Elephas maximus indicus: one gene and its partners. The protein of the gene in region 1 interacts with the protein of each later gene in a pairwise test. Links are inferred from orthologs where the notes say so. Each region holds a gene or a part of one and is shown in the gene's direction. Other genes may lie near its edges. The genes, in order: KRT40, SHFL, DLGAP2 and MTA1.

What was found.
Region 2: the proteins of KRT40 (region 1) and SHFL interact in binary tests that used the Homo sapiens proteins (3 or more experiments, as listed by UniProt). The two-hybrid records come from large-scale screens. The link is inferred for Elephas maximus indicus from reciprocal best matches to the Homo sapiens genes KRT40 and SHFL.
Region 3: the proteins of KRT40 (region 1) and DLGAP2 interact in a two-hybrid assay, tested with the Homo sapiens proteins (2 studies listed by BioGRID). The link is inferred for Elephas maximus indicus from reciprocal best matches to the Homo sapiens genes KRT40 and DLGAP2.
Region 4: the proteins of KRT40 (region 1) and MTA1 interact in binary tests that used the Homo sapiens proteins (3 or more experiments, as listed by UniProt). The two-hybrid records come from large-scale screens. The link is inferred for Elephas maximus indicus from reciprocal best matches to the Homo sapiens genes KRT40 and MTA1.

The regions. Positions count from the first base shown.
Region 1 is NC_064837.1:48,073,157-48,080,094, reverse strand, and holds the start of KRT40 (keratin, type I cytoskeletal 40), read left to right. Parts: upstream 1-3,922; coding exon 3,923-4,369; intron 4,370-5,040; coding exon 5,041-5,123; intron 5,124-5,405; coding exon 5,406-5,562; intron 5,563-6,361; coding exon 6,362-6,523; intron 6,524-6,607; coding exon 6,608-6,733; intron 6,734-6,938. UniProt on the Homo sapiens protein: May play a role in late hair differentiation.
Region 2 is NC_064821.1:28,232,147-28,239,078, forward strand, and holds the start of SHFL (shiftless antiviral inhibitor of ribosomal frameshifting protein), read left to right. Parts: upstream 1-3,928; 5' UTR 3,929-4,170; coding exon 4,171-4,191; intron 4,192-4,650; coding exon 4,651-4,774; intron 4,775-4,955; coding exon 4,956-5,005; intron 5,006-6,396; coding exon 6,397-6,435; intron 6,436-6,613; coding exon 6,614-6,763; intron 6,764-6,932.
Region 3 is NC_064830.1:6,902,389-6,910,125, reverse strand, and holds the start of DLGAP2 (disks large-associated protein 2), read left to right. Parts: upstream 1-4,732; 5' UTR 4,733-4,759; coding exon 4,760-4,777; intron 4,778-7,737.
Region 4 is NC_064828.1:119,709,817-119,717,430, forward strand, and holds the start of MTA1 (metastasis-associated protein MTA1), read left to right. Parts: upstream 1-4,614; 5' UTR 4,615-4,651; coding exon 4,652-4,679; intron 4,680-7,614. UniProt on the Homo sapiens protein: Transcriptional coregulator which can act as both a transcriptional corepressor and coactivator. Acts as a component of the histone deacetylase NuRD complex which participates in the remodeling of chromatin.

The DNA.
Region 1 (6,938 bases):
ACTAAAATGCATAAAAAATTGCAATGTAATGTGACAGTTGCCTTAGGTGGGGTAAGTACAAATTGCTATAAAAAGAGCCTCCATCTCAGTGTGAAGCAGTTGGATGCCATTTCAGCTGAGTCTTGACTTGTGAGTTCATCCAGGTAAGAGATAGTAGAAGAGGATTAGACCAAGGAAACAGGACCTGCAAAGCCTGGAGGTATGGTCGGAGTCTGGTGTTTGTAAAAGAGAGTAACAGGAAAGAGCCTAAAAAGGCAAACTGGCACCAGATTGAGGAAGGTCATATATCAAACTTTGGACCTCCTAAGTGGAAAGTGATAAAAATAAAAAAATGATTATCACAGCAGAAGGTGTTATATTCTGGGGTAAGAGTATGTTACAAAAGGAAATTTTCTATTTATTTTTCTCTATTCCCAATGTTCACATGGAGTCCCTGGATGGCACAAATGGTTAAATGCTCAACTACTAACTGAAAGGTTGGCAGTTCAAACCCATCCAGAGGTACCCCAGGAGAAAGGTCTGGTGATCTGCTTCCAACTGTTCACAGCCTTGAAAACACTATGGAGTGTAGTTCTACTTCTGCAACACATGGAGTTGCCATGAGTTGGAACCAACTCAACAACAACTGGTTTGGTATGGTTTAATGTTCCTCACTGTGAGGATGATAAGCTATAAAACATATGCTGGGCAATTTCCATATTCTAAGATGAAAACTATAGATACAGATCATCATATAACACAGCACTAATTAATCAAGGCCAAAATAAATAGTCTTTCCCTGTGTGTATATATGATGTATATATATATATATATATAATAACTAGGAATCAATATTTTACAAATAGAAATCAGATTGAGACAGAAGGAAATATGTCTTATTTTACCTGCAGTTACTTTAAAATAATGACATTGCTGCATTTTAATTAAGTGGACCCTATGGTGAACAATCAAGACATGGACTTTCTTCAAAGATCTCTTCTCTTGACTCATTAGGTTAATGATTATGTTAGGTGCCATCGAGTCGGTTCTGACTCATAGCGATCCTATGTACAATAGAACGAAACATTGCCTGGTCCTGCACTATCCTCACAATTGTTGCTATGTTCCATGGATTGAATTGTATCCCCCCAAAATATGTGTCAACTTGGCTAGGCTGTGATTTCCAGTATTGTATGACTGTCCACGATTTTGTCATCTGATGTGATTTTTCCTATGTGTTGTAAATCCTACCTCTATGATGTTAATGAGTCAGGATTACAGGCAGTTATGTTAATGAGGCAGGACTCACTCTACAAGACAAGGTTGTTTCTTAAATCAATCTCTTTTGAGATATAAAAGAGAGAATTGAGCAGAGAGACACGGGGACCTCATACCACCAGGAAAGTAATGCCAGGAGCAGAGCGTGTCTTTTGGACCTGAGGTTCCTGTGCTGAGAAGCTCCTAGAGCAGGGAAAGATTGATGACAAGGACCTTCCCCCAGAGCCAACAGAGAGAGAAAGCCTTCCCCTAGAGCTGGTGCCCTGAATTCAAACTTCTAGCCTCCTAGACTGTGAGAGAATAAATTTCTCTTTGTTAACGTCATTCACTTGTGGTATTTCTGTTATAGCAGCACTAGATAATATGCCAAACCAAAAACCAAAACCATTGCAGTCAAGTTGATTCCAACTCATAGATAACTAATATAGCAGCACTAAATAACTAAGACACTATGAGCCCATCATTGCAGCCACTGTGTCAATCCATCTTGTTAAGAGTCTTCCTCTTTTTTGCTGACCCTCTACCTTACCAAGCATGATGTCCTTCTCCAGGGAGTAGTCCCTCCTGATAATATGTCCAAAGTACATGAGACAAAGTCTCACCATCCTTGCGTCCAAGGAGCACTCTGGCTGTACTTCTTCCAAGACAGATTTGTTCATTCTTCTGGCAGTCCAAGGTATATTCAATATTCTCCACCAACACTATAGGTTAGTAAGGGACTGTAATATTTCCTTGGATGTTTGTAATTTTTAATTTGCTTTTTAATCCTTGAACTCAACGGCTGTTGCGTAACAGCACCAATATGTCGTGAATCACTCCAAGAATTTGAAAAATAAGTTTTGATTTTAGAATCACTAAAATCAAGTCCAACTCTGTCCAGTGAATAAAAAATCCTAAAAGACTACTTTAATCCATCCTATAGAAGGTCCCCTGGTTTTGTTTTTTCCATTATCAGTTAACTAGGAAGTAGTGCTCAGAATTAGAAATAATTAAGTTTGTTCTGGATCATGAAATTTTTAACTTTGTCAGACTAATGCTTTTTCCTATAAGGATCTCAAAGATTCTGGAGGAAATTTTCCCTGTGTCACCTTTGAAAATGAAATAGATAACCACAATCACAGTGGAATAGATTATGGATCATAGTGGAGGTAAGATTGAAAAGAGAGTCCAAATCACGGAACACTTCAGGTACAAACTATCAAATGGGAAACCAATTTGCTTTGTAAGCTTTCTCCTAATGCACAATAAGAAATCTAAAAAATAAAATAAAAATAAAGTTTCATTTAAAAATAAAACAAAACAGGATCCAGGAAAGTTTTATCTCAAGTCTCATCCCCTTAGGGATTCCACCAGGGATTTCATCCAGCAGAATTGTCAGCCTGGAACCCACACCGTAGAATTTTTATCCTCCAAGTCCCAGTATTTTTAATTTTCATAAAATTGAAGTCTTCAGAAAAATTAATAAGATAAAGCAGACTCCATAATCTCACCGAAAGAAAAGTCTTCTATAGCTTTCTTGCCGTATTCTAAGGATCTCTCAAGAGCCTAAAAAATTATAACTTAGAATTTATATTTTATTCTTATTAGAAATACCTGAGTAACCTACAGCTATTCTCAAATACCTTACTTTGCATGTCATCAGGAGGGGCGAATCTCTGGAGAAGGACATCATATTTGATAAAGTGAAGGGCCGGGGAAGGCGTGGGAAATCCTCAGTGAGATGAACTGACACAAAGATGGCCACATCAATGGACTCAAATGTACTAAAGATCATAAAGATGGTGCAGGACCTGGCAATGTTTCCTTCTGTTGTATATTGGGTTGCCATGAGTCAGAGCCAACTCAACAGCAGCTCACAACAACAACATTCCCAAATAAGAAACATTATCTCTGATCCAAACATGCGACACACGAGAAGTGGAGAAGGCAAGTTTCAGCAAACCAAAGATGACAACTCCTGATAACCAATTTATATTTCGACCTAAAGGGCAAAAAAAGGTATGTAATGTGATCTTTCCATTTTCACCTAGAGAGAGAAGGTTCACGCATATACACATGTGCACCCATACACGTCAAATCAAGTACACACCTCACTCCTCTACCCTGTAAACACAAATGTGAAGTCAAGATCACAAATACCATTGCAAAGATTGCTAATCACACTGAATATTTTTATGGTGGTGGCAAAAATAAACGACATTTAATGATATGCAATATTCTTTTTAAAGGAGACACAATATTAAATGCACAGGATCAAAATCAGTGCAAATACTCTTATCCTTACCTGTAATCAGTTATATCTGTAATTATTGAATGGCCAAATGTTCTCTTTCTTCCAATATTCTGTCAAAAGGGCAATGTCCCCCGTGAAGATTTTCTGAAACAAGTATTTTATTATACTCACACACAGAAATCGTGTACATCCCGATTTAGAAACCTGGAGTTATCCCTCTTTTATGAGGCATAAAACTCCTCCTCTGTAAATAAACAAGACTAATGAAATGTTCTTAAGAAAACTGCCACCAACGATGTTAATGAAAACATCCAGAGCAGTCTGCAAATACCCACTTGGGGGGACTATATAAAAGTCTCAGAAAGGAAGAAGACTTTTGGAGTCAGGTAACTTGGGTTTTACAGCTAGTCTCTGTTCTTCACTTCCAGTAGGATGCCTTCTGAGTGTTCTCCCACTCGCTGCTCTTCTGAGTCTGGTGCCAGGGCTTCTGATCACCCATCTGTTTCAACGCGTTCTATGAAAACGACTTGTCTCCCTAACACCTGTGCTACAACCAGATGCCAGACCCCCACCTTCCCATCCACGTCTCGCTTGTCAACTGGTTGCCTCACACCATGCTACTTTGCTGGGAGTTGTAATATTCCATGCTTGGTGGGGAACTGTCCTTGTTGTGAGGATGGGGTGTTCAACAGCAACGAGAAGGAGACAATGCAGTTCCTGAATGACAGACTCACCACCTATCTGGAGAAGGTGCGTGGCCTGGAAGAGGAGAATGCAGCACTGGAATGCAGGATACGAGAACAATGTGAACAGGAAATCCCACTGGTGTGTCCTGATTATCAGTGTTACTTTGACACCATTGAAGATCTCCAACAAAAGGTCTGGCAACCCATTGCCCTAATACCTTTGTTTTCCCAACCTGTGATTTGCTTTATCTTTATACTAGAAGAGGACATTTTAGGCATGAAAGGAAACCAAGGGAGGAGGGGATTCCAAGAGCTAATGTGTTGTGGTAGAATGAGCACTGGACTAAGAGTCAGGAAACACCAGCACTAGCTCCAGTGCTGCCACGAATTAGTTGAGTGATGATAATAAAGTCGCTTATGTATAGGCTTTACCTTTATCATTTATAAAACGAGGGAAAACTGTGTTATATCTGAAATTACTTCTCATATAACACTGTATATTTGAACATAGAAAATGAAATGCCATCTTTTTAATTATATAATTTCACGTAGTAACCATTTTCTTTTACTGATGAATTTCTATTATCATGGACGGGGATCTATACAGTCATAATACAAACTATGGACAGAAAAATGTAACTGTGTTCATGTCTTATAGTCGTAAAAAACGAGCCATTTTACTTCTCTGTTTTGTTGTTAAATTGGCAATTTTTCTTCATGAGTGACACTGTTAATTTGAAAAGCAGGATGAAAGCTATTTTATGTTTTCTTATAAATATTTTAAAGGATAGTTACATCGCAATTAAATGAATAGATACCTAGTATTCTTTCAAAGAGCCATTTATTACATAACTTACTTTCCAGATTTTGTGCACGAAGGCAGAGAATTCTAGACTTGCTGTACAGCTTGACAACTGCAAACTGGCTGCTGATGACTTTAGGTCAAAGTAAGTTTAATTTGAATTTGAAAATGATTTATGGTTCTCCTTCTCTCCTCTCTCTGGTTCTTTTTCTCTCATAAACACTCTCACTGGGCACAAATGGTCTCTCTGTGTAATATTATTAAGCTAAAAATTCTCGCAAAACTCTATTTTATAATTATTTGGGATATAAAAGAAATTATGATATGTGGCTCCCTTGAGTCCATGTATCATTCGTCAGTACAGCCCCAGTACTTTGCACAGGACCCAGCAGAGTAAGCATTGGCTATATCTCTTTTGCTGCGAAAGGTACGAGAGTGAACTGTCCCTTCGCCAGCTGGTAGAGACTGACATCAGTGGCCTGCACAAGATCCTGGATGAGCTGACCCTGTGCAGATCTGACCTGGAGGCCCATGTGGAGTCCCTGAAGGATGATCTCTTTTGCCTTAAGAAAAGCCATGAGGAGGTGAGGACAGTGGCAAAATCCCTAAAGGACCCTAATGGTGACAGGGTTAAACTGACAGATGTTATGTTTAAGTGTATAAATTGAATCTGGATTGATGTTGCTTAAGCTGGAACAGAATTCCTCGAGGCACACTTGTTATTCGGCCTGATCACTTCAGTGTATCTCTGAATGAGACAACTCTGGCCAGCGCCCTATGAAGGAATCAAACTCTTCACTTGCCATTGTTTTTGCAGAGGAGTTGAGTAATTCCACAAATGGTTTCCCTTGGAGGCTTTATGACACCCCTAGCTTCAGCCCAAGAGGTATGAAATCGGACTGATAAACGCAGACTATGAAGTCCATTTCGAAAAGGGGATACCCATGCAATATTTCTCCATGATTCCAAATGTTCTGTACTTAAAATCATAAAACATGAAGTGTATGATAATGCCATGTTGCGGAGGTTGGAAAATGAAAAGTTGAATGATGTAACAAAGAAGGTTTTCTCTTTGAACATGTTTGATGATAGTAGTAGTTAACATTTATTGAGAGCTTACTATGTACCAGGACTTGTTTAAGTTATATGTATGTTAATTCTTATATACCTCTGGGAAAGGAACTATTATTATATCCACTTCTCAGATGAAAAACTGAGGCATTTATAAGTAGCGCTAAGACATTCAAACTCAAACCACCTGAATCTAAATTCCACACTTCCAGCCACTGTTCCAAAAAATAGAAATAGGATGCCATTGGGGTAGAATTTTGTCAAATTGATTTTTCCCCCACCACTTTGTGACATTCCTATTTCCACTTTCAGGAGGTCAACCTGCTTCTTGGACAGCTTGGTGACCGACTCAGTGTGGAGCTAGACACTGCCCCCACGACCGACTTCAACAGGGTCCTGGATGAGATGCGTTGTCAGTATGAAACAGTGCTCGCCAACAACCGCAGAGACGTGGAAGCATGGTTCGCTGTTCAGGTCAGCACCTGGAGCCAACACAATAGCAGGCTTCCAGATCCCTGCCTCATTCATTTGCTTTCTCTAAAAGTGCCTATGTTTCAGACAGAGGAGCTGAATCAGCAGCAGCTGTCCAGTGCAGAGCAGCTGCAAGGCTGCCAGACGGAGATCTTAGAACTGAAACGCACAGCCAACGCTCTGGAGATTGAGCTCCAAGCCCAGCAAAACTTGGTGTGTAAGGGAAAGACAACTGTTTTGTCACTGATGAAGCAGACCTTGAGATACTCTCCCTTCTTCCATAACCCAAAGAAGAGACAGTTCATGTGACAAAGGGCCCGGTTTCCAATTTGCAGGGCTTACATTTCCTTGCCTTTCCCAAGCATTGCTAAAGCAGGAATGACAGGTCAGCAGCTTGTACTGCCCCAGCAGGTACCCT
Region 2 (6,932 bases), on another chromosome or scaffold:
CCTCTTGGTCTATGTACAGGTTCCTCATGTGCACAATTAAGTGTTCCTCAATTCCCAATCTTATCCATAATTTGTTATGATCCACACAGTCGAATGCTTTGCATAGTCAATAAAATACAGGTAAACATTTTTCTGGTATTTTCTGCTTTCAGCCAAGATCCATCTGACATCAGCAATGATATCCCTCATTCTACGTCCTCTTCTGAAAGCAGCTTGAACTTCTGGCAGCTCCCTGTTGATACACTGCTGCAACCGCTTTTGAATGATCTTCAGAAAAATTTTACTTGTGTGTGATATTAATGATATTGTTTGATAACTTCCGCATTTAATTGGATCACCTTTCTTTGGAATGGACACAAACATCCATCTCTTCCAGTTGGTTGGCCAAGCAGCTGTCTTCCAAATTTCTTGGCACAGATGAGTGAGCACCTCCAGCACTGTGTTCGTTTGTTGAAACGTCTCAATTGGTATTCATTCCGTCAATTCCTAGAGCCCTGTTTTTCGCCAATGCCTTCAGTGCAGCTTGGACTTCTTCCTTCAGTACCATTGGTTCTTGATCATGTATTACCTCCTAAAATGCTTACAAGTCTACCACTTGGTATATATCACAAATATAATCAAACATTTACTTACAATATCTTCTGCTTCGTGTTTCTCTTTCCCGCGAAGACCATGAACTCCAGGAGGGCAGAAACAGTGTCTCATTCTTGGACGTACCCAATACCATGCCTCCACTTGATATGAGTGAGGAAAACTGAAAGGAGAAATCTAATGAATTCTACCTTTGACTCAATTATACTAAAGTGTTGGAGGCTACACTTCTTATCACTGGTCTCAGCGCTTCCATTTTCTCCTTCCCACACCCTTTTATAAAAACAAAAGATAAAATGCAGTAATGCTCACTACAGAAGCCAGGCACATCTGCCCAGACCAAGACCGTCACAAAGCTCAGACAGAACTGTGGGTGGGTAGGCAGCGCCCCCGTGTGATGGGTGGAAATGCTTGTTGTTTTTTTTTGTTGTTGTTGTTGATCTACAAATGCCAACATTCAATAATGTGGTCACATCTTCTGCTTGTCTTTCCAGATCTACTCTCACCCACCTTCCCTTGTCCCTACCCCTCCCACCCCAGGAAAATCCTAATCCCTGTTATAGGGGAAACTGGAATCTGGAGAGATCCCTTCCTAACCTAGACAAGAGGGGACTTGTTGTGAATAAGGCAAGAGTGAGGGGGGCCCACTCCTCAGCTCTGTGTCCTAAGAGGCTGACTGCACCAATGGGTACTCTTGCCCTCTGGCTTCCAGTTGAGTCCAGCCAATAAGAGAATCTAGCAGAAGATGGGAGGGTGGGAGGAGAGAGAGGCTGGAGTATTTATTTCCCTCTCCCTGAACTATTTTTATTTATTGAATGTGTGCTGGATCTAGTTACTCGCTTTTAAGGTGTAGAATGTAGTGGGATAATGTGACGTGACTTCCAAGACTAGGTCACAAAAACTTCCACCTGGCTTTCCGTCTCTTGGATGCTTGTTCTGGGCCCTCCCACCAACAACCAGCACCAGCCTGCCAGCCATGTGAGTGAGTCACCCTGGAAGCAGATCCTCCAATCCCAGTCAAACCTTCGATGACTGCAGCCCTGGTCAACATCTTGGCTGCAATCTTATGAGAGACTCTGATCCAGAACAGCCCAGCTAAGCCACTCCTATACTCCTGACCCCAAAAACTATATAAGATCATGTGTTTATTGTTTTAAGCCACTAAGTTTTGGGTTGATTTGTTGTGCAGCAATAAACAACAAATAGAACTGGTGATAACAGTTCTATGCTCCCACCCCAGGGCCTTTGCACGTGCTGTTTCTACTGACTGGAACTATCTTCTCCCAGATAGCTCCCACCCTCCCTTCTTTCAGGTTTCCCCTCGAGCATCTTTTCATGTGTTTGTTGGCCATTTGCGTATCGTCTTTGGTAAACGTCCGTTCAATTCCTTTGCCCATTTTTTAATTGGGTCGTTTGTCTTTTTGTTGTTAAATTGTGCAAGTTCTTTGCATATTTTGGATATTAAGCGCTCATCAGACATATGGTTTCCAAAATTTTTCTCCCTATCTGTAGGTTGTCTCTTCGCTTTGTTGATAATTTCAGGTCTGTCCTCAAATATCATTTCCCCTCCAGCAGTTCAAATCCACCAGGCGCTCCTTGGAAACTCTACAGGGCAGTTCTACTCTGTCCTATAGGGTTGCTATGAGTCGGAATCGACTCGACGGCAGTGGTGGTGGTGGTGTTGGTCTTCCCTGATCCTATTCAGCTACTAAGAACCATGAATTGCTTGCAATTGTTAACAGGGTAGCTTTCAGAGTGGGAAGCACACACTCTACAAACCAACTTTTGGTGTTCAAGTAGAAGACATTAGAACACGTATACTCTTAAATCTCCATTTTTTTCTAATATACAGAATTTATTAGTACAACCACAATGCTCCTTAGAAGCAAGGATGGCGAGAGCACCTCTCACATGCTTTGGACATGTTGTCAGGAGGGACCAGTCCCTGAGGAAGAAAAGCATGCTGGGTAAAGTAGGGGGTTATCAAAAAAGAGACAGATCCTCAATCAGATGGACTGACACAGTGGCTGGAACAATGGGCTTAAGCATAACAACGACTGTGAGAATGGTGCAGGACCGAGCAGTGTTTTGTTCTGTTGTATACAGGGTCGCTATGAGTCGCAACTGACTCAATGGCACCTAACGACAACATTAGTACATATTTATAAATTAAGTATCCATATGGGAGACAGAGAATCGACATTTTTATTGATTTAAAAAAACAACACTTGATGCCGTCGAGTGGATTCCAACTAATGGTGACCCCATGTGCTACAGAGTAGAACTGCTCTATAGATTTGTCTTGGCTGTAATCTTTATGGAAGCGTATTGCCAACCCTTTCTTCCTCAGTGCTGCTGGGTAGGTTCAAACTACTAACCCTTAGGCTAGGAGACTAGCCCCAACAGTCTGCACCACCCGGGGACTTTTTCTTTTTCCTGATAGGGTGTACAAATGGGGGGAAAAAAAATTGGAGCCGTTTACCCTAACGTAATTTTGCACTCCAGGGGACATTTAGCAATGCTTGAACACATTTTTGATTGTCACAATTGGGGCAGGATGCTACTGGCATCAAGTGGGTAGAGACCGGGGATGCTGCTAAACAGCCTGCAATTCACAGAGCAGCCTCAAACTTCAGGCACCGGCTAAGGCCTCAAGCTTCAGGCACTCTGTGCTAACCCTTAACTCCTCCGACAAACCATCCCTGACGCCCCCTGCTGGCCCAGAGCCCCTCTTAAGGACTCCTCCAGTCCCCTGTGCGCTGGGTTAGAATTGTCTTGACCCATAGGGCTCTCGACCTTCAGATTTACAATGCAGGTGCCCCGGAGCCCCAGATAGTCTGATTCCAAAGAGCTGCTACGGGTCAGGGGTCTGTATTTTTAACAAGTATCCCTCCCGTAGCCCACCCGCCCCTTCGTACCTGGCACAGAGTACGCGACTCAAAGACTATTAGCGTGCCCACAGCAAGCCAGGTGCTGCTCAGTGCTCTACCCGAGGTCTCCTGACCCCCCACCAGAATGTAGCCACTACCATCATCCCCATTTTACAGAAGTGTAAACTGAGGTCCAAGGAAGGGGTCATAGCCTGTCCAGCAACTCAGCGCCAAGAGGCCCAGGTCCTAATTAGCGCCTGATTCCTCCGGAGAGAGAGGGAAGGAAAGGAAAGAAGGTGACGACCGATGGGTCCCCTCGAGCTGTGGAGGTGCGGAGACTTGCAGCGGCTTTCCGATGCAGCCCCGCCCCCACATGGGACGTGAAGACGCGGACCCCGCGCAGCGTGGGGACATGTGACCGACTGCAGAGGCCGCGCCGCCCCCCCCCCCCCCACGCGAGGTCTGCGCGCTCCACTGCAGGGCGCGGACCAGGGGCGCCCGCCTGGGTTTGGGGCGCAGGAACAGGGGCGGAGCCAAGGCGCCCCGCCCCCCCGAAACGAAAGCGAAAGAGGGGGCCAGGAAGGAAGGGCGGGCTGGCCCGAGGCACCGCCCCCTGCCCTGCGCGGCCGCCGGATCGACGGGCGCGCCCAGGTAGCTGGGTGGCCGGCGCTGCGTGCGGACCCTCGCGGGGACCTGCGCCGCCGCCACCATGTCTCAGGAAGGTGTGGAGGTAGGAGATGGCGACGGCCGCGCCGGGGGCCCGCGAGAAACGCCGGGAAGGGGCAGGGGGTGCGGAGGTGGCTTCGCAGTTCCCGGGAATCCCCATCATAAGCCCAGACCTTCCCCCTGGCCGGCGCGCGCCACTGTGGGAAAGGAGAGTGATCCCCCACATACCCTAGAACGAAATGCGGCCTCCCCGAGAAAAAGCGGGGGCTGCTGGGTCAGGGTTCGAAGGCCAGAGGTTACCTGGCCGGCCTCGCCTTACCCTGGGACGCTTGCCCTAGTCCCTCCCCGCTCCATTCCCCAATGTCCGGTGGGGACTTTGGCTTTTTCCAGGAAATGCCGTGGGGGAGGTGGGCAGAGGCCAAACCCGAGGGTCAAGTTCAGGCCTGGTGCTTGGTGCCAGGGGGAGGGGGAGGGGCGTTTGCGCCTCTCCTCCCCCATCGGAGCCCCTCTATCCGCGCCCAAGCTGGAGAAGAGCGTCCGGCGCCTCCGGGAGAAGTTTCATGGGAAGGTGTCCTCCCGCAAGGCAGGGGCTCTGATGAGGAAGTTTGGCAGCGACCACACTGGAGTGGGGCGCTCCATCGTGTACGGTGAGCCGGTGGGGGTCCCGGGCCTGGAGGGCTGCGTGTGGGAGCGCCGAGGGTGGAAAGAAACGCTGAGACCACCTCCTGTGGATCCCCAGCCTCGGGAAAGGTCTACAGTGGGCTCTGGGGGCCTGAAACTCCCACAGCGCCTCAGGGGCCCTTCACTTACGAGTTCTCTCTCCACCAGAGGTAAAGCAGAAAGATGGACAGGAACTGAGTAATGGCCTGCCTGCCCAGGTAACCTGCCCCCTTCCCTCAAGAACAGGGTAAAGAGGGAGAACAGAGAGGATCCCCCCACCCACCCACGGAGAGCTCCCTAGGGAGCAGGAGGGACTGGGCACTGCCGGTCCACACTCTTGGTCCAACTTCATTCATGTATTCACCTCTCTATTGTGCGTCCAGCCAGGGAGGTGGCAAACAGGAGGTGCTCGATACATGCTGGTTGTATTAAATCAGAGAGAGAGAGATACAAAAGTAGGCAGTGGCTCGAGCCAGCATTAATGTCAATAAGGGAAATCCCTAGAGATCAGGGAAGGCTTCTTGGAGGAGGTAATGCCAAGTCTTAAAGGACAGAGAGGAGTGAGCCCTGGGAAGCGGAGGGGACGCAAGAGGGAATGCCCTGAGCAAAGGCTGGAAGGTGAGAAAGGGGCACCTGAAAAGGCTGCGAATGAGCAGACTGGGGGCGGGGGAGGGGAAGTGCAGCAGGGAGCCCCTGTGTTGAATGAGTGAATGAATGAAAGGCTTTGAAGCACAGGTGTGACCTGGCTGCTTTGCCTTTTAGAAAGATGGTTTTGGTGGCTGGTGGACTGGGGATTTTGCCTGCTGAAAGGCCTGGCGTAGAGTTGTTGACGAGTGATAAAAATAATAGCAAAGGGGGGCACTGACGGAGCACTTCCCATATGTGGGGCTGAAGGATTTATAAGTGTTGACAGATTACAATCTCACAACAACCCCACAACCCCACAAGATAGAGCCTATTAGGTGTCCTCCCCATTTTACAGACAAAGACACTGAGGTACAGAGTGATGAAGTCACTTGCCACGTTCACACAGCAAACAGCTGGGATTTGAACCCTAACCACCTAAGAGCTCTGAGATGCCCCTCATTATGGCCCAGGGTTCCAAAGCTGGAAGTGGTGGAGCTGGGATTTGAACCTGGGTCTGTCTGAATCCAGAGCCCAAGCACTTAGCTAAAGGAGCACAGCCCCAGAGGCAGACCTGTCACCATGCCAGCAAACGTGTGCTGGGGATGGGGTGCTCACAGTCTGTCTGCTGGCAGGCAGGGAACACAGGATTCAGGCCTGCTGCTCCACACTCACTCAGGGTCATCGCCAGCAAGCCCCCTCATAGCTCTGAGCCTCAGTTTCCCTATCTGAGCAATGGGGATAACACACTTCTCAGGGCTGCTGTGAGCATAGCTGAGATGACAGGTGCAAGGTCATACACCTGGCTCTCAAGTGGGTGCTGCTCAATCAGCTCATCATGAGTTAAGGGGCGCCCTACTCTCATGGGGGGCCAGAGCCCTGCGTCCCTTTCTGGACTCCAGAGCAGGAGCTCCTCCGCCAACAAATGAGGGTGGAAAAGAGGCCTGAGCCCCAACCTGTTTCTGCCCCTGGTGTCTCCATCCAGGACCCACCAGAGGACATGAAGCAGGACCAGGACATCCAGGTGAGTTGGCAGCTGGGGCGAGGCCAGGGTGTGAGTGGGGGGGAGGAGTAGGGGGAACATCCATGGGGAAGGGTGGGACATCTCATGGGTGGGGAACGCATGTTGGGGGGCTTACATATGTTTGTTGGTAGAGGAGAGGTGACCTCCTCTCTCATCCCCACCTACCCTCACTCCACAGGCAGTGGCGACCTCCCTCCTGCCGCTGACAGAAGCCAACCTACGTATGTTCCAACGCGCCCAGGATGACCTGATCCCTGCTGTGGACCGGCAGTTCGCCTGTCCCTCCTGTGACCATGTTTGGTGGCGTCGTGTGCCCCAGCGGAAGGAGGTGATAATCCAACTCCTGACCCCCATCCTCATGGCTGACCCCCATCCTCATGGCTGACCCCCATCCTCATGGCCGAACCTCTGACCTAGGAACATCAACCTCAGAAAGCCAAACCCCTGACCCCCTGATCTTTAACCTCAGAGTTCAACCTGAGGTCCAGAGAGGGAAG
Region 3 (7,737 bases), on another chromosome or scaffold:
CCCAATCCGGATCCGGATTTCTACTACCCGGCTGTCAATCATTCGCACTACAGCCGTAGATTGGCTTGGAAGTCACCGTCGGTCCGAACCGTAAAACCCCGCCTTCTGGAAGCTCGCTACCGCGCATGCTCAGTTATTTTGCTACAGTGCAGCGGGGAAAAGTTTTGAGATCTGGCTTTCGGGCAAATAAATTAAACCGGAGGGGTCAGTGGGTGGATGTATAAAACGGGTGACATTCAAACTTTCTTTGAAAGCATTTGCCGAGTACACATATTCTGAAACAACAACACGTATCCTCACTACCACTGATTCCCTTCGAATATTCTCTATTCTGTTTGCGCCCTAAGGTTTGGAAAACACTGGTATAAAGAGAAGACAAGAGAGTGAAAAGGGGTAGGTGCTTGGGCAGGAGATGGCTTAGTACTTACTCAAAACCATTTGTTCTAAAATATTAGCAGAATTTAGGGTGTGAAGAAGACTAAAAAAACTATGGAGAAGAAAACTTGGAAACGTGAGAAGAGTTGGAGAGTAAGGACTTGGCACAAGGTCTGTCTTAAACTACTATTTTCCACATACCTGCGGCTCACTCTTATAACGTAGAGTTCCCTTCTCCTTCTCACCTAATCATCTTCTTATACTTAGAGGAGAAACTCAGAGTCACCAGGAGTTGCTCACCCACAAATCTCCCTCTAAGCCACGTGTGTCTTCACTCCTTCCCTTTCTTTCTCCCGTCATAATTCTCTTCTATCCAAGCGACTTTCTTCCACACATAAAAAAAAAAAAAGAGACACATACTCGTGCATTATTCCATTGCACCTTCTCTGGAACCTCGATTCACTATTTACCCCTTTTTATTGAATTCATTGCTTTAAAAAAAACATTGACTGTATGTCAGGCACTGTTCTAGATACTGGAGGTACACCGGTGAATGGTCTAATGAAAGGAGACAAAGAAAATTAAGTAAAAAAATAGTATGCCATATGGCAATGAGTGCTTTGGAGAAACATGAAGCAGGGAAGGGAGTTAGAAAATGGGGAGATGGTGCTGGTGAGGGAAGGCATCATTGAGAAAGTAATTTGAGCACCGACTTGAAGGAAGTGAGGGAGCCAGCCTTAAAGATGTCTAGGAAAAGAGAGTTCAAAGGAGAAGGGACTAGAAATGTTTCAGGAGATTGCCTGGCATATCTGTTTGGGGAATAGCAATCAGGGCAGTGTGACTGGAGTGCAGTGAGCAAGGAGAAGGGTAGTGGAAGAGATGGGAGAGGAAACAAGGAGTCAGACAGGGTTGGGGAAAGATCATGACAGGTATTACATTAACCTTGGCTTCTCCAAGGAGTGAGATGGAAAATCATTTGAGGGTGTTGGGAAGACCACTGAAATTACATTTTAAATAAGTCACTTAAGCCACTATCTTAACAGTAGACTTTAGTGGGAAGAAGCAGGGAAACAAGTTTAAGTCCACTGCAGTAAGAAAGATGGTGACTAGAATCAGAGTGGTTGCATTAGAGGTTTGGGAAGAGGTAGTCTGATTTTTGATATATTTGAAAATAAAGCCAAAGAGATTTTCTGAGTGGCTAAATGCAGGCTGTGAAAGAAAAAGAGAAGCATACAATGGGTCTAAGTTTTTGATCTAAGAAGTGGAAGGCTGGAGTTGCATTAGCGAGATGGAGAAAACTTTGGGAGGATCATCTGTAGTTGGCAATATACAGTCTACACGTTAGGTTTTAGAAACTCATTAGACATGTGAATGACTTTACAGCTCAGGAGAAAGGTCCAGGACAGAGATACACAGTATATAAAGCTAAGAAACTGTATGAGATCATTAAGAGAATGAGCATAGACAGAGAAGTGGTCCATGGACTCAGCCCTGAGGCACTGTAAGTTTTCAAAAGTGGAGAGATGGGGAAGACCTAGCTACATACGGAACATGAGAAGCAGTGGTCAGTGAGGCACGAGAGAGGAGTGTGCTTTCCTGAAGCCAGTCAAAGAAGTGGGGGAGGGAGTGACCATTTGTTCCAAATGATGTTGATAGGTCAAAGGAGGACTAATAATTGACAATTGGATTTGTCAATGTGAGGTCATTAGTGACCTTGATTACAGTAATTTTGTTGGTGTGGGACAGGCAAAGGCTTGATTGGAACTGAACAGAGAAAACCGCAGAAGAGAAACTGGAGACATTGAGTACAGAGCACTCTTTCCTGGGGCCAGTGAAAAGGGGCAGTAACTGTAGAGAATGTGAGGTCCAAAGAGGGTGTTTTAAGATAGAAAAAAAGAAATGCACATGCAGTATATTTGTATATCAAAGGACTTGAACAAGTTGATATTTAGAAAATCAATAATACAGGAGACAGAGGGGACACAGCTGAAATACGTACGTCCTTGAAGAGGTCGAATTTTCAATGTGTTCTCTACATCAATATCCCCAGTGGCATTCAAACCTACTCTGGAATTTCTCACCTGAAAGCCAAACTTCTCAGAAACCTTGTATTCTCTTCCAGCCCTATTTTTCTTATCTCTTTAACACTCAAACTTCTTGAAAGAGTTGACTCCAAAGTCTGTCTCCATGTTGACATCTAGAATGGACTCTGCGGTCCATCTGGCTTCCGTTTGTACTCCTCCACTTTGACTGCTCCTGCAAAACTCACCAATGACCTCCCTGTCAGCAATTCCAGTGCACTTTTGCCAGTCTTTAAATACTACCAGTGGTCTACCAGAAGCATCGTCCACCCAAGTTCCAGACCACACAAATCCACAGGGGAGATAAATTGGAAGATGCTTTTAAAGGAACACTAAGGAGAAATTAGATTGTTGTCACGTTTCTTTGATTCATCTTTGTATACCCATCGGCATCTAAACTTTGCTTTGAAAATGCACTGGAATTGATTAATATTTGAGCGATAACTTCTATGAAGAAATCTAATGGAGGTAGTGTTTTTGTTTAAAGACCTTGGAATTCTGGAAAAGATTGGTTTATCCCATTCCAAGTATTTTCATCATCTGATTCACTTCTATTCTAACTCCTATCCATTTTTCTGTAAGCTTTCATCTTGGTGTTTTTACTTTGTATAATTGCTTTCGTGTAACTTATCTCATTTTGACTTCACAACAACTCAGCTAGGGATATGAAAAAAATCTATTATTATCTCTACATTAAAGACTGGCCTAAGGTAACTGCCTGATACAACTAGGAATTAAAAAAAAAAAGGGGTCTCTGAGTATCAGTATACTTTGTTTCCCTGTAGGCCATAATAACTTTGCGTTGCTACCATCAAGTCAGATCTCAGAAGCATATTCCCACCTATTTAACTAGGACCTATCAAAATATGCCCAGTGTTGTTAAAGTTTCCAGACCGCTACAGATTTTGAACACAACTGATTTAATTTTTCTTCCTTATTTTTTCACTTGGAAACCCTGGTGGCCTAGTGGTTAAGTGCCACAGCTGCTAACCAAAACGTCCGCCAGGCGCTCCTCGGGAACTCCATGGGGGCAGTTCTGCTTTGTCCTATAGGGTCGCTGTGAGTCGGAATGGACTCGACGGCACTGGGTTTGGTTTTTCTGTTTATTCTTTCACTCGGGTCATTTATACGCTGCCAATAGTCACCCCACGAAGGTGGCAGGACCTCATCTAATGGTGCTCACTGCCTTTCAACCCAGGTTTACAGACAAGCAAATAGATAAAATTATATAAATATAATTAATAAAGATAATGCTGTTCATGAGATTAGCGGTCGCCACTGATGGATTCCTTCTTCCCGGGACAGACAGCACCGGCAAATTTCGACCCTTTGGTTAGCAGCCGAAGCACTTAACCACCAGGGTTTCCACGGGAAAGTACGCCCATGGAAATAGCGAGAGTCTCGGTTTTGCAACGCTCACAGTAACAGGATATTTTCCAGCCGCAGCAGTAACCTTGCAGCGAAATTCCCTTGCAAAGAAATACCTTCTCTCGTATCTTCAGTGGTCCTCTCCTCTCTCCGCCAAGTGAGCATCTTGGGTATTGAGCAGACTTTAAATTGTAAATTAATCCCACACATGAATGCGCTAGCGCGTCCCTTAGTCCGGAGTGGGCTGGACATTCCCATATGTTGAGGTGTGTGCTTATAGTATTCTAGTGCTAACTTTCCAAAACGCTTTTAAAACCCGTAGCGCATGTAGCATTGAAGCTCCGGACCAGTGATGCTGGCATGTTCTCGGGGAGCCGCCTCTTCCCTCTCTGTCCCCGGGTGACCCGTCCCGCTTCCCCGTGCAACAGTTGGTTGGATTGGAAGCGCTGCCGCTTTCCACACGGCGGCTCCTGCAAAAAAGCTTCTCTTTGAACGCTCCTCTGGGGGTTTCCGCACTAGAACCGGGCATGCTCAGTAGCCAAAGCAGGTTGGGGTAGCGAAGCCGCAGCTTTTGCGCTACAGTTTCAAAGCAGCGAGAGGGAATGGCTCCGGACCTTCTCTAGATGGAGCCCGGCGCGGGCCGGCCCCCCCAGTGCGCCGATGCCTCCCCGGGCGCGGGTGTGCGCAGGCGCCGACCGTGAGAACCCGTGCGCCAGGCTCCGAGTGCGGCTTGCACAGCGCGGCGGCGGCGGCGGCAGAGCCGGACGGCGCTCAGCACCTGCACCGCGGCGCCCGAGCGCGAGCCGGAGCCCGAGCGCGAGCCGGAGCCGGAGCCCGTACAGCACGCGGCCGCGCGCCTTTGCCTGCTCGCCTGGCTAGAGGGGTCGCCACCTCGCCATGTCACCCAGCACCTGCTGAAACAGTAGTGCCTGAGAATGTCAGCGCTGAGAAAGGTAAGGACCGCTGGCTCCCGGAGAGGCCCCCGGAACCTGGGGAGAGGGAAGTGTAAGGGCTGCTGAGTGCCGTCGAGGCGGCGCGGGGTCGTGGTGCCGCTGTCGCCGGTGCCTGGGTGACAGTCTAGGGCATGTCGGGGACTTTCTACCGGGAGCAGACATGGTTTGGTGTGGCTTGGGGGCAGTAAAGTCTGCACGACCCGTTGGAAGCCCCTCCGAGGGGAGGCTTCGGCGCGGGGAGCTGGGGGCGGTGTGTGCAGGCTAGGGAGGGAGGTGGGGGCGTCATCTGCCACTTCTGGGGGCGTCGGCGCAGGGCGCCCTGGCCGCTTCGGGGGCGGGCGGTCCACTCTGCCACGCACGAGCTCTCCAGTGCTGGAGTTGGGCCAGGGAGACCCCGGAGCGGCCCGGCAGCGCGGGTCCGCGAACGCCATCCGGGGAGCGCGTCGGCGGCGCGGGGAGCCCCGGGTGCCGGGAGCGAAGCCGCGGGTGCCGGGCAGTGGTGGGACCCCAAAGGCAGCTTGGTGGCCACAGGGAGCCTCGGGAGCCCCGGGAGGACTCAGGCGCTGGGGCCGGGGGCGCACCATCTCCCGCATCGCGCCCGGTTGCGCACTAGCTGGCGGTGCTCGGGGGGGGGGGGGTCTCCTGGACTCTGGGCTCCTGAGGCTGGCGGGAACCGGGCGCGGGGAGCGGGGCGCTGCCCGAGGTGTGAAACCCGCAGCTGTAGCCCGGCGGGTTGGAGGGAACCGGCGGGCAGATGCCAGTAAGGAAGCGCAGCCCGAGGGGTAGTTGGAGAGCGAGGGGTCCTCAAACCTGGCACCGCTGGGGGTGGCCGCGAGGGGATGGGGTGGGGGGCGGCGGTTAGCATTTCCAGAAAAATCCCCTCTCCCAACACGGACCCCCACCCCCACCGCAGGCTGGGCTGAGCAGGGGAAGCGCCGACGGGGACTGGGAAGGAAAGAAACCTGCTGGGAGCCCGGGCTGCGCGTGTGGTCCTGCTGGGGCGGAGGGGAGCGGGGAAGGAGGCGAGTGCTGCCTGGTGGTCGCCTGGGGCGGGGAGGGGGACCTCAGGGGATGCGCGCGGGTGTGCGCCTGGAGGGGGTGGCAGCCGCCCGGCTTTCCAAGTGTGAGCGAGGAGCACGGGGTTTTTTTTAAGGGTGGTTGCTATGCGAGGCGCTACCCAGCGCAGGCTTCTGTAACTAAGCCTCCCCCGGCAGCGGCTGTTGCTGTTCTCTGGGCTTGTTCGCTAACGATTGCAGGAGAAATAATGAGGATGTAATTATTACAGCCCTGGCGCTGTGAGGGGGTGGGGGGCGGAAGGGAAGGTCTCTTGCTATCGCGGGCCAGGTGTGCCTGGTGTGGGGGGCGGCACCTCTTTCCCCTTCTACCCCTCCTTCCTCGCCCGGGATATTCTCTACCGAGGGGGTTCCGAGCACAGCTGGACTTGGGGATCTGGGGAGAGGGTGGGCGGACTCTGGGAGATGGAGTTCGAAGAGGTGGGGAGGGGTGCGGAAAGGCCGAGAGCTTTAGAGAGATCAGGAGAGGTTCGCAGGTAGAGTAGGAGAAAGAGAATACGGTCACGGTGGGGACTAGAAAACGTGTTGGCTGGTTTTATTTCCCATCGGGAACTAAAAGGCATCTTCCTTTTGGCTCTTCCACACTTCTTAGGTAATTTTTATTCCAGCTTCCTGTGCTTTGCGTCTCTCAAATGCATGGCGATTTGGGCAAGGGCTTCGAATTCTAAATTCATGACTTATCCGTGGCAGCTGTCTTGTATTGATTAAAAATAAAGCGATCGGCAGTGAATTCATCCTCTGTGTTTATTAACTATGCCAGCACGGACTGTGGGTGTTTTTAGAGCTTGAAATACAAAGCATAACTGCTTTTCCTGTCATCTGGGGACTTGGAGGCAGGAGGACTCAGATGAGGTACTTAAGAAAAGGACTTCCTTGAGGAAATACGTCCTTGGTGGCCTTGGATTTTTACTAACAGTAACCAGCTCCCCCTGTATCGTCATGGAACAGTGTATCTGATTGGAACTCATGGACTTTAGTAATGTGTGATTTCAAGAAGATTCTTGTTTCTAGATGAGCTCTGGTGGTGCAGTGGTTAAGCACTGGGCTGCTAACGGAAAGGTTATCAGTTCAAACCCATCGATGGTTCTCCTGGAGAAAAGACCTGGCAATCTGCTCATTTAAAGATTTCAGCCTAGGAAACCCTATGGGGCAGTTCTACTCTGTCCTGTTAAGGTTGCTATGAGTCCCAGTGACTGGAGGACACACAACAAAAACAAGAACTTGTCTGTAGGTGGTATATTGTATTTGTAATTAGAAGATGACTTGATATGTCACATAGCCTGAGGGAGTCCAGATAGCATATTCAAAAGGATCTCTTTTTCACGTGCCTCCAAGGTGACAAAACAGAAACCCTTTAACCCTTTTTGGAAGGAACATCATGTAGAGTTGAGGTTAATGTGCACTACAACTCAGTTTTCATTTTACTTCCCATTCTCTGAGACAGCTAAATAGGTAACCAAGGCAAAAATGGTGAAAGGATGAAAAAATGTTAATTTTGGCAGGTCAGGTTGTTACTCTGGTGTTTAAAAAAATGTCATTAATCAGGATTTTCCAGTAGCCAAATTGTCTTGTGCAGGCGGCTGGGTGACTCACAGCTTTGGCTGTAATAATAATTGTAGAGTGTATGTACCATTTCCTTTTAGATGGTGTGATTTTTTTTCATGGCTTGGAAGAGAACAAATTAGAATATTTTATACCCCACATCTGGCAATATGACTAGTGGACTATAGGGAATACTATCTGCTCAAGCACATCTGGGCTGTGAGAATTATGGACCTAATGAAAGACAGTGGTTAGAAGATAGTCCCAGCCTAAATCACATTACCCTTTCCTACTGTCCCTTCAGAAACCATCTCAAATGTCATGAGTTCTGTAACTGTGGGATTT
Region 4 (7,614 bases), on another chromosome or scaffold:
TTTACATTAGCTCTCACTTCTTAAAAATGATTCTCTCTTCTCTGAGACCATCTATGGAACGGCCCTACCCTCTAGACTCTCGGTATTGGCCATGCCCTCTGGTTCTAGGTGGAGGACCCTTGGCCCTGGGCTTCAGCTCCACCTTACGGGCCCACTGGGATGGCAACTCTGCTCCCTTATCTTTGGTGGGCCCACTCTCCTAGTCCATCTGAGTGGTGACCCCACCCCCTTGACCCCAATCGGCCCTGTTCCTCTGCCCCGTGGGCATGGCAGCCCCATCCCCTCAGCTTTGGCAGCAGCCGTATCCCCTGGCACACTTTAATGGCAGCCCCACACTTCAGAACTCAGTTTGTGAATATCTGACTGTTTGAAACCTAGGAGGTTGTGGCCCCACCCTTTGAGATCCAGGATTGCATGGCCCCATCCTTTGAAATCAAGAAGGCTTTGGTTCCTGTGCTCCTTCCAACAGTAATGCTGATTTCCAAGCTGATCTAGGAATGGTCCTTTTCTTTTCTTGGAGGACAACAAATGTAGCTTCTTTGGCCTTTTTCCTACCTGTAGAATTCCAAAAGGCAAACAGCATTCTTTAGTTCTTTCCCTGCCCCCTTCAGTTTAAGCTAGTGAGTTTTCTGCTGTGGTAGTTGGTTAGCTCCATCAGTCACAGGCTTAATCTCTTTAACACAAGATTGTGTAGCCACATCGTTGGTGAACATTCCAGGACACATGTCCTTAGCTTGTACAACAGAATTTTCCAAGTCTTTAAGTTCTGTTTTCATTTTGCACCATTCATTTTTAAGTCCATCTCTTTTTTTTACTATAAGTGACAAGGAGAAACTATGCAGCTCCTTTAAGATCTTGCTTAGAAATCTCATCAGACATATATCTAAGTTCATCATTTACAAGTTCTACCTTCCAACAAACATTTGAATATAATTCAGACAAATTCTTTGCCACTGCATAAAAATCATCACCCTTCCCCCATTGTCCATCATATGCTCATCATTTTCTTTTAAAGCCTCATCAGAAGCACACTTAACATTCACATTTCCATCAAAATTCTGTTGCTGGTGCCATATGTATCATCTAATTCATAGGGACTTTCTCTATAGCTCTTCTCACTTCCTGCCGAGCCCTCACCAGAATTGCCTTTCATGTCCATAATTCTACCAACGGTCTCTTAAAGGCAACCTAGGCTTTTACTATCAGTCACGTTAAAACTTTTCCAGCCTCTACCCATTACTCAATTCTGAAACCGCTTCCACATTTTAGGTATCAGAGTGGCACCCTACTCTCCTGGAACCAAATTCTTACTTATCTACTGCTATTATAACAGAAAGATGAATAACTTTAACAAACAGAAGTTTATTTTCTCACAGTTTAGAAGGCTAGAAGTTTGAATTCAGGGTACTGGCTCTAGGAGAAGTCTTTCTCTGTCAACTCTGAAGGAAGGTCCTTGTCTCTTCTGAGCTTCTGCTCCTGGGCAGTCTTCATGTAGCTTGGCATCTCTCTTCTCCCATCTCCACTTTTCACATGCTTGTTTAACCTCTTTTAGATCTCAAGAGATTAACTCAAAATACACACTACACTAATCCTGATTAACATAAGAAATACAACCCATTCCCAAATGGGATTATCATCACAGGCATGTTGTTGTTGTTAGGTGCCATCAAGTTGGTTCCAACTCATAGTGACCCTATGTACAACAGAACGAAACACTGCCCAATCCTGTGCCATCCTCACCATCATTGTTAAGCTTCAGCCAATTGTTGCAGCCACTGTGTCAGCCCATCTCATTGAGGGCCTTCCTCTTTTCACTGACCCTCCTTTTTATCAAGCATGATGTGAGACATAGTCTCGCCATCCCTGCTTCTAAGGAGTATTCGGGTCATACTTTTTCCAAGACAGATTTGTTTGTTCTTTTGGCAGTCCATGGTATGTATGTTCAATATTCTTTCCCAACACCACAACTCAAAGGGGTCAATTCTTCGGTCTTCCATATTCATCGTCCAGCTTTCTCATGCAAACCACAGGCATAGAGTTTAGGGCTTAGGACGCATATTTTTGAGGGACACAGTTCAGTCTCTGACATAGCCAGAGCCACTTTCCCAATCCTTGCTAGAATCTTCTGTGTCTTCGGCACCTTTCGTTCATGGCATGAGTTGTCCTCTGTGCCAGTAGCTCACCTGGACATTCATGGCATGAGTTGCTCCTCTGTGCCAATAGCTCACCTGGACATTCATGGCATGAGTTGCTCCTCTGTGCCAATAGCTCACCTTTCGTTCATGGCATGAGTTGCTCCTCTGTGCCAATAGCTCACCTTTCGTTCATGGCATGAGTTGCTCCTCTGTGCCAATAGCTCACCTGGACATTCATGGCATGAGTTGCTCCTCTGTGCCGCTAGCTCACCTGGACGCTTTTTTTGCTAGTCCTGACTTTTGATTACTTTGTTAGGTGTTAGGGGAAAGACATTTTATGCTGCAGCTTTGCTGACTAGAGGGGACGACTCCTTCTTTCACTGGTTTTGGAAACTTTGCCTATATATTATCGTCCCCTTCTGTGAAGTCCCTGGGTTGTGCAAATGGCGAATGCACTGACCTACCAACTGAAAGGTTGGAGGTTCGAGTCCACCCAGAGTTGAGGAAAGGCCTGGCGATCCGCTTCTGAGAGGTAACAGACTTGAAAACCCTGTGGTGCTCATCTCTACTCTGACGCACATGGGGTCCTCAGGAGTTGGGAGGCAACTGGCCTTCTCCTGCACCTAAGCTTCTCTTTCTTTTCTAGTCCCTTCCATCACAACCAAACGTAACCTCGACCCTGGTATCTGAAAGGAAGGGTCCCTCTCCCCCCGCCACTGTCCTTCCAGCTATGCTTCTTGGAGAACTGGTTGTCCTGCAATCCCTACTAGCCCCCCCTGACTGGGTCCAGTCTGGCCCCCTCGAGCCACCAAGACAGCCCTTGTAGCCAAGGCATCGATGAAGCCCCATTGCTCACTGTGGTGTTCCCCTTTCTGGTTTGCCTGGCCACTCCATGGCACATGATGCTTTGACCAGCTCCCTCCTTGGGAACCCCTTCCTGGCTGTCATTCCAGCCCACTCTGGCTCCCTTCGCACCTCACTGGCTCCTTCTGTACAGAACTTTCCGTGGTGGGGGCCCTCAGCGCTCTGCCCCAGGCCCCTTCTCATCCCCGCTCTGTCCTTGGGATCTTAGCACGACCACGGCCCTTGACCATGTCCCTCCCATCCCTTCCTGAACCAGCTCCCTCCTGAGTACCCCCGCCGCCCCAAGGCCTCCATTGGATGTCCCATAAGGATGTTCCTGCTCCCAAAGCCCTCACACAGCTGGGTGAATGGGGTAATAACACTTGTTGCTCCAGCTGCCCACCTGGAGCCACTCCTAACTCTCTTTATCCCTCTCTGACGCTGATGCTGGTCCGGGCTGGGACTCGCCCAGTCTGAGCTGCTGCCTTGGCCATCTCATGCTTCTCACTGCTGGTGGTATCTGGGCCACGGGATTCTCTATTCTCCCCAAACCTTAGCAAGTAAGCACAAAAACAAATACACGGTTACAAATTGTGACCAGCCTTGGGGCAAAAGCTGGGTGCCTCTCTGTGGACAGTGGGATCGTCTCTCCTGGCCTGGACTCTCCTGCCTTCCCTGTTCACTGGGCGTCACACCTCCCAGCCCCACTTTGGCCCTCGTGAGTCAATGAGGCCTTCCACAGGTGAGGCTGCTGGACCCTGGCCTCAGGCAGGGCCTTCTGGAGAGTGACCTCAGGGCCTTACCCACTGCTATTCCCTGCTCCTGAGACAGGGAGCCCTCAGCTGGGATCTGTGGAGTGAGTGAGAGGCAGTATCCTCACCGCTAACATTTACCCCTTATTATGCTGCGCCAGAGGCCCAAGCTAACTGCCCTGGACCCTCAGAACAAGCCCACCGGGGGGCCTGACAGAAGAGGAAACAGAGGCCCAAGACAGTCAGGCACTGTCCACATTAAGATGGGGCTGCTGGCCGTCTAGGATGTCCAGGGAACACCACAGGGCACAGGAACGGGAAGCAGCCTGAGGGGTGGGGACACCGGCTGAGAGGTGGGGGCGCCGGCTGAGGGGCGGGGGCCCGGGATGAGAGGTGGGGGAGCCGGCTGAGGGGTGGGGGCCCGGGATGAGAGGTGGGGGAGCCGGTTGAGAGGTGGGGGCGCCGGCTGAGGGGCAGGGGCCCGGCATGAGAGGTGGGGGAGCCGGCTGAGAGGCGGGGGAGCCGGCTGAGGGGTGGGGGCGCCGGGCGAGGGGCGGGGGCGCCGGGCGAGGGGTGGGGGCGCCGGCTGAGGGGCGGGGGCGCGGCGCGCGGGGTCGGATAACGGCCCGCGCGGTGGGCGGTGGCGCCCGAGGCCCCTCCCCGCGCCGCGCCGCCGCCGGCCGCTCCTCCTCTTCCTCTCCCGCCCGCGCCGGCCTCCCGTCCCTGCGCGGCCTCGGCGGCGGCGGCGGCGGCGGTGGCGGCGGCGGCGGCGGCGGCGGCACAGCGCGGCCCCTTTAAACCGCCCGCGGCCCCCGCCCGCGCCCCCGCACCGAGCCTCCATTTCCCGGCCGCCCGCCCGCCTCCCGCCTCCCGCCCGCCCGCCCGCCCGCCCGCCGGCCTCCCGCCGCCGCCGGCGCGGACATGGCCGCCAACATGTACAGGGTCGGAGGTAAGGCCGCGCCCGGGCCCGCCGCCGCCTTTATCCCCGCGCCGCCCGCGCCCCCGCGCCCCCGCCGCCGCCCCGGCCCTGCGCCCCGATGCCGGCCCCCGCCTCGGCCCCCCACCCCGCCCGCCGGGGACCCCGGCGCCACCCCGCCCCTCCCCCACGCAGGCCCGCCGGCCGCACCCCGCCGCCCGGCACCCGAACGCCCGGCACCCCAACGCCCGCCCCCCGGCGCCCGGCACCCCTGCCCTGCCCCTCCATCTTCTCTTCGGAGTGGCCTGGCCCTCGCGCGCGTCGCCCCGGCATGTCGCCCCGGCCCGAAATGGCCCCCGGAGGCCGGGCGGCGCGCTGAGCCGGCGGGAGGCGGGGGCTCTGCCCACCTGTTGGGGGCCGAGTGGGTGGTCTGTGGGGCCCCTGCGGAGGAGGCGCGCGGAGGCGCGGGCTGGTGGCGGGGCATCTCCGGAGGCACCTGGGTCCAGGGGCTTCAGCTGGGGCCTGGGGCCTGGGGCCAGGGGCTGTGGAGCCCCTCTGGAGCACGTGGCCTTGGAGGCTCCTCGTAGGCACCCTGGGAGCAGGAGTTTTGGGGTCCCCCTGGGGCTGTGCGGGTTGGCCCATATGCTGGGATGGGAACAGGTCCCTCTCGAGGGATAGGGTGCTCATGCGCCCCAAGGCCAGCATTCCTCCCTCGGAGCCCCTGGCACAGCATAGAGTGGCCCCCGGGACACCCAGAGTTGCTTGGGCTGCGTGCTTGCGTGGGGGCCCCACAGCAGTGTCCCCTTGCAGAGCCGTCATAGCACGCGGTCACCCAGAGCTTGTCTCTGAGTTGCCCCAAACTTTTCCCTGGCTCCCACTAACGCTAGCCCGTCATGGAGACACTTTGCAAGGATTGGGGAATGGGCACAGGGTCAGGGGGTACAGCCCCCAGATCTGCCTGTCCTGTGGTTCAGTGCCAGGAGGTCCCTAGCCTGGCCTTGCCCTCGGTTGTAGGGGCTCTGTGGGATCCTGGGGGTTCCTCTGCTCACTCTTTTACAGGGAACTGAGTAGCCATGCTCAGGCCCATGCTCTTCCCTGCTTGGACCCTCGGGTACAGCATCACCCCCAGACCTGCAGCTCTCCACCCCCCAGTCCCTCAGCCTCCTCACTGTGAGGGGCTGGGTGTGGTGCCCTGCTGTGGAGGTGTGTCAGGCCTAGGCAGTGCTGGGGTGGGGGGTGAAAAGGGGATGTTCCGTCTGTCCTCACTGCCCCCCACTGGCCTGCCCCCACCTGGTCACTCTGACCCTGGGTGCCCAGGACGCTTTCTCCCTTTCGCGATGGCTCTGCTGCTGGTGACTCTGGCAGAGACAGGCGTTTGGGGGTCCCCCTGGTCCAGCCAGGCGGGCTCTGACCTTGGGCTGGTTGCTGGCCTGCCGTCCTCACCCCCATCTGTCTTCTCCCTGGAGAGGTGCTGTGTGTCACCAGAGCAGGTACCCTCCCACCAGCCGCACCACCCCCCAGAGATGGGTGCCATTGCCCCTGAATGCGTGGCTTTGGGGGAGCACCATTTGTGGCTCCCTTACTCCCCACCAGCTGGGGTCCTCCTGTGTCCTGACCAGCTCCTCACTGCCCCTGCAGGTGCCCCTCTCCCTCCTCTGGGGTAGCTCCACTTGTCGTGCCCCAGAGCCCATTGGGCCCTGCCAGTACTACCAGCTGCCCAATGGTCCTGGGCTCAATTTCCATTCCACTCACAGGGCCCAGGCTGCCTTCTGCAGAGTGGTCTTCTCAGCAGCTCAGGTTCCCAGTCTCTAGCCCCTGATTTAAGGTCTCCTTGTTGAGTGAATGAATGACATGGTGGCTGGGGGTGGAAGGCCAGGGCAGAGGCCGGGTTCGGATTCCCTTGTGCTGGGCTGGAGAGGGTGGAATCAGGGCCGTGAGGTCACCCCAGGGCCGTTGGATGCTGGCCCCCTTCACCACTGAGCAGGTGCCCCTGGCCCAGAGCCCCTGCCCTGCAGCTTCTACAGCCCTCGTGGCCTGAGCTGGCCCTACGGCTCGCCGAGGGCCGGCCCTTTGGCCTGGGGCTGTGGTGGCGCTGGTGCTTCCAGGGTGCAGAAGGCCCTGGAACGGACAGCCTAGGGGAGTTGGCCCTGTGCAGGCTTCACAGTGTGGGTCCATGGGATGTGCCCCCACCCAGGCCAGCTGGAGAGGCCACCTGCAGAATGTGGCCTCTCAGGTCAGCCCAACCTGGTCCACACCTCAGGCCCCCCCAGGCCTCAGTTTCCCCCACTTGTACGAGAGCTCTGTCTGCCCTCCTGCTGTGTCTGGTTGTGTGCGGACCTTTCTCACCTCTAGGGAGACCTCTTCCAGGGAGGCCTGCCCGACCCTCACTTACCCAGGTTGTAGGGACCCAGCCCTGGTTAGGATACAGCACAGGTTTCCCAGCAAGTCCTGGTTGGGGCCTCCCATCCCTATGTCTGACCCTGGCCTAGCACCTGGTGTGGGCTTGCAGAGTGACCGGGCAGTGCCATGGGGGTGGGCGTGGATCCCCCAGCCATGAGATGATTGGGCCCTCCCTGAGTAAGGGGCTTTTTTTTCCCTTTATTTGTAGACGACAAAGCCGGTAGGTTAGGGTTCCTATCCCTTAATATGGAGCACTGCGCCCCGGCCATGCCCTCAGGATGCTATGGTGCCACAGATGTGCTGTGCCTCACTCTCGGTGGCCATGCCAGGCCCCTGGGGTGTCCGGCTGAAGCCTGATGAAGGCCCTGTGGCCCTCAGGGCCTGGATGAGGGGCCTGGGTCCCATACCCTACCCTCCCAGGAGCCCCCCGAGTCAGTCCAGTGGTTGTCCCACACCCAAGGGTGCCCTGAGGTCCGCCTTGTCACTGCCCCACGTTCAAATGGCACTCCAAAACTGCTGATCCCTCCCGAGCCTGCTTGGCAGCTCCCAGAGAACCATGCTTGTGGAC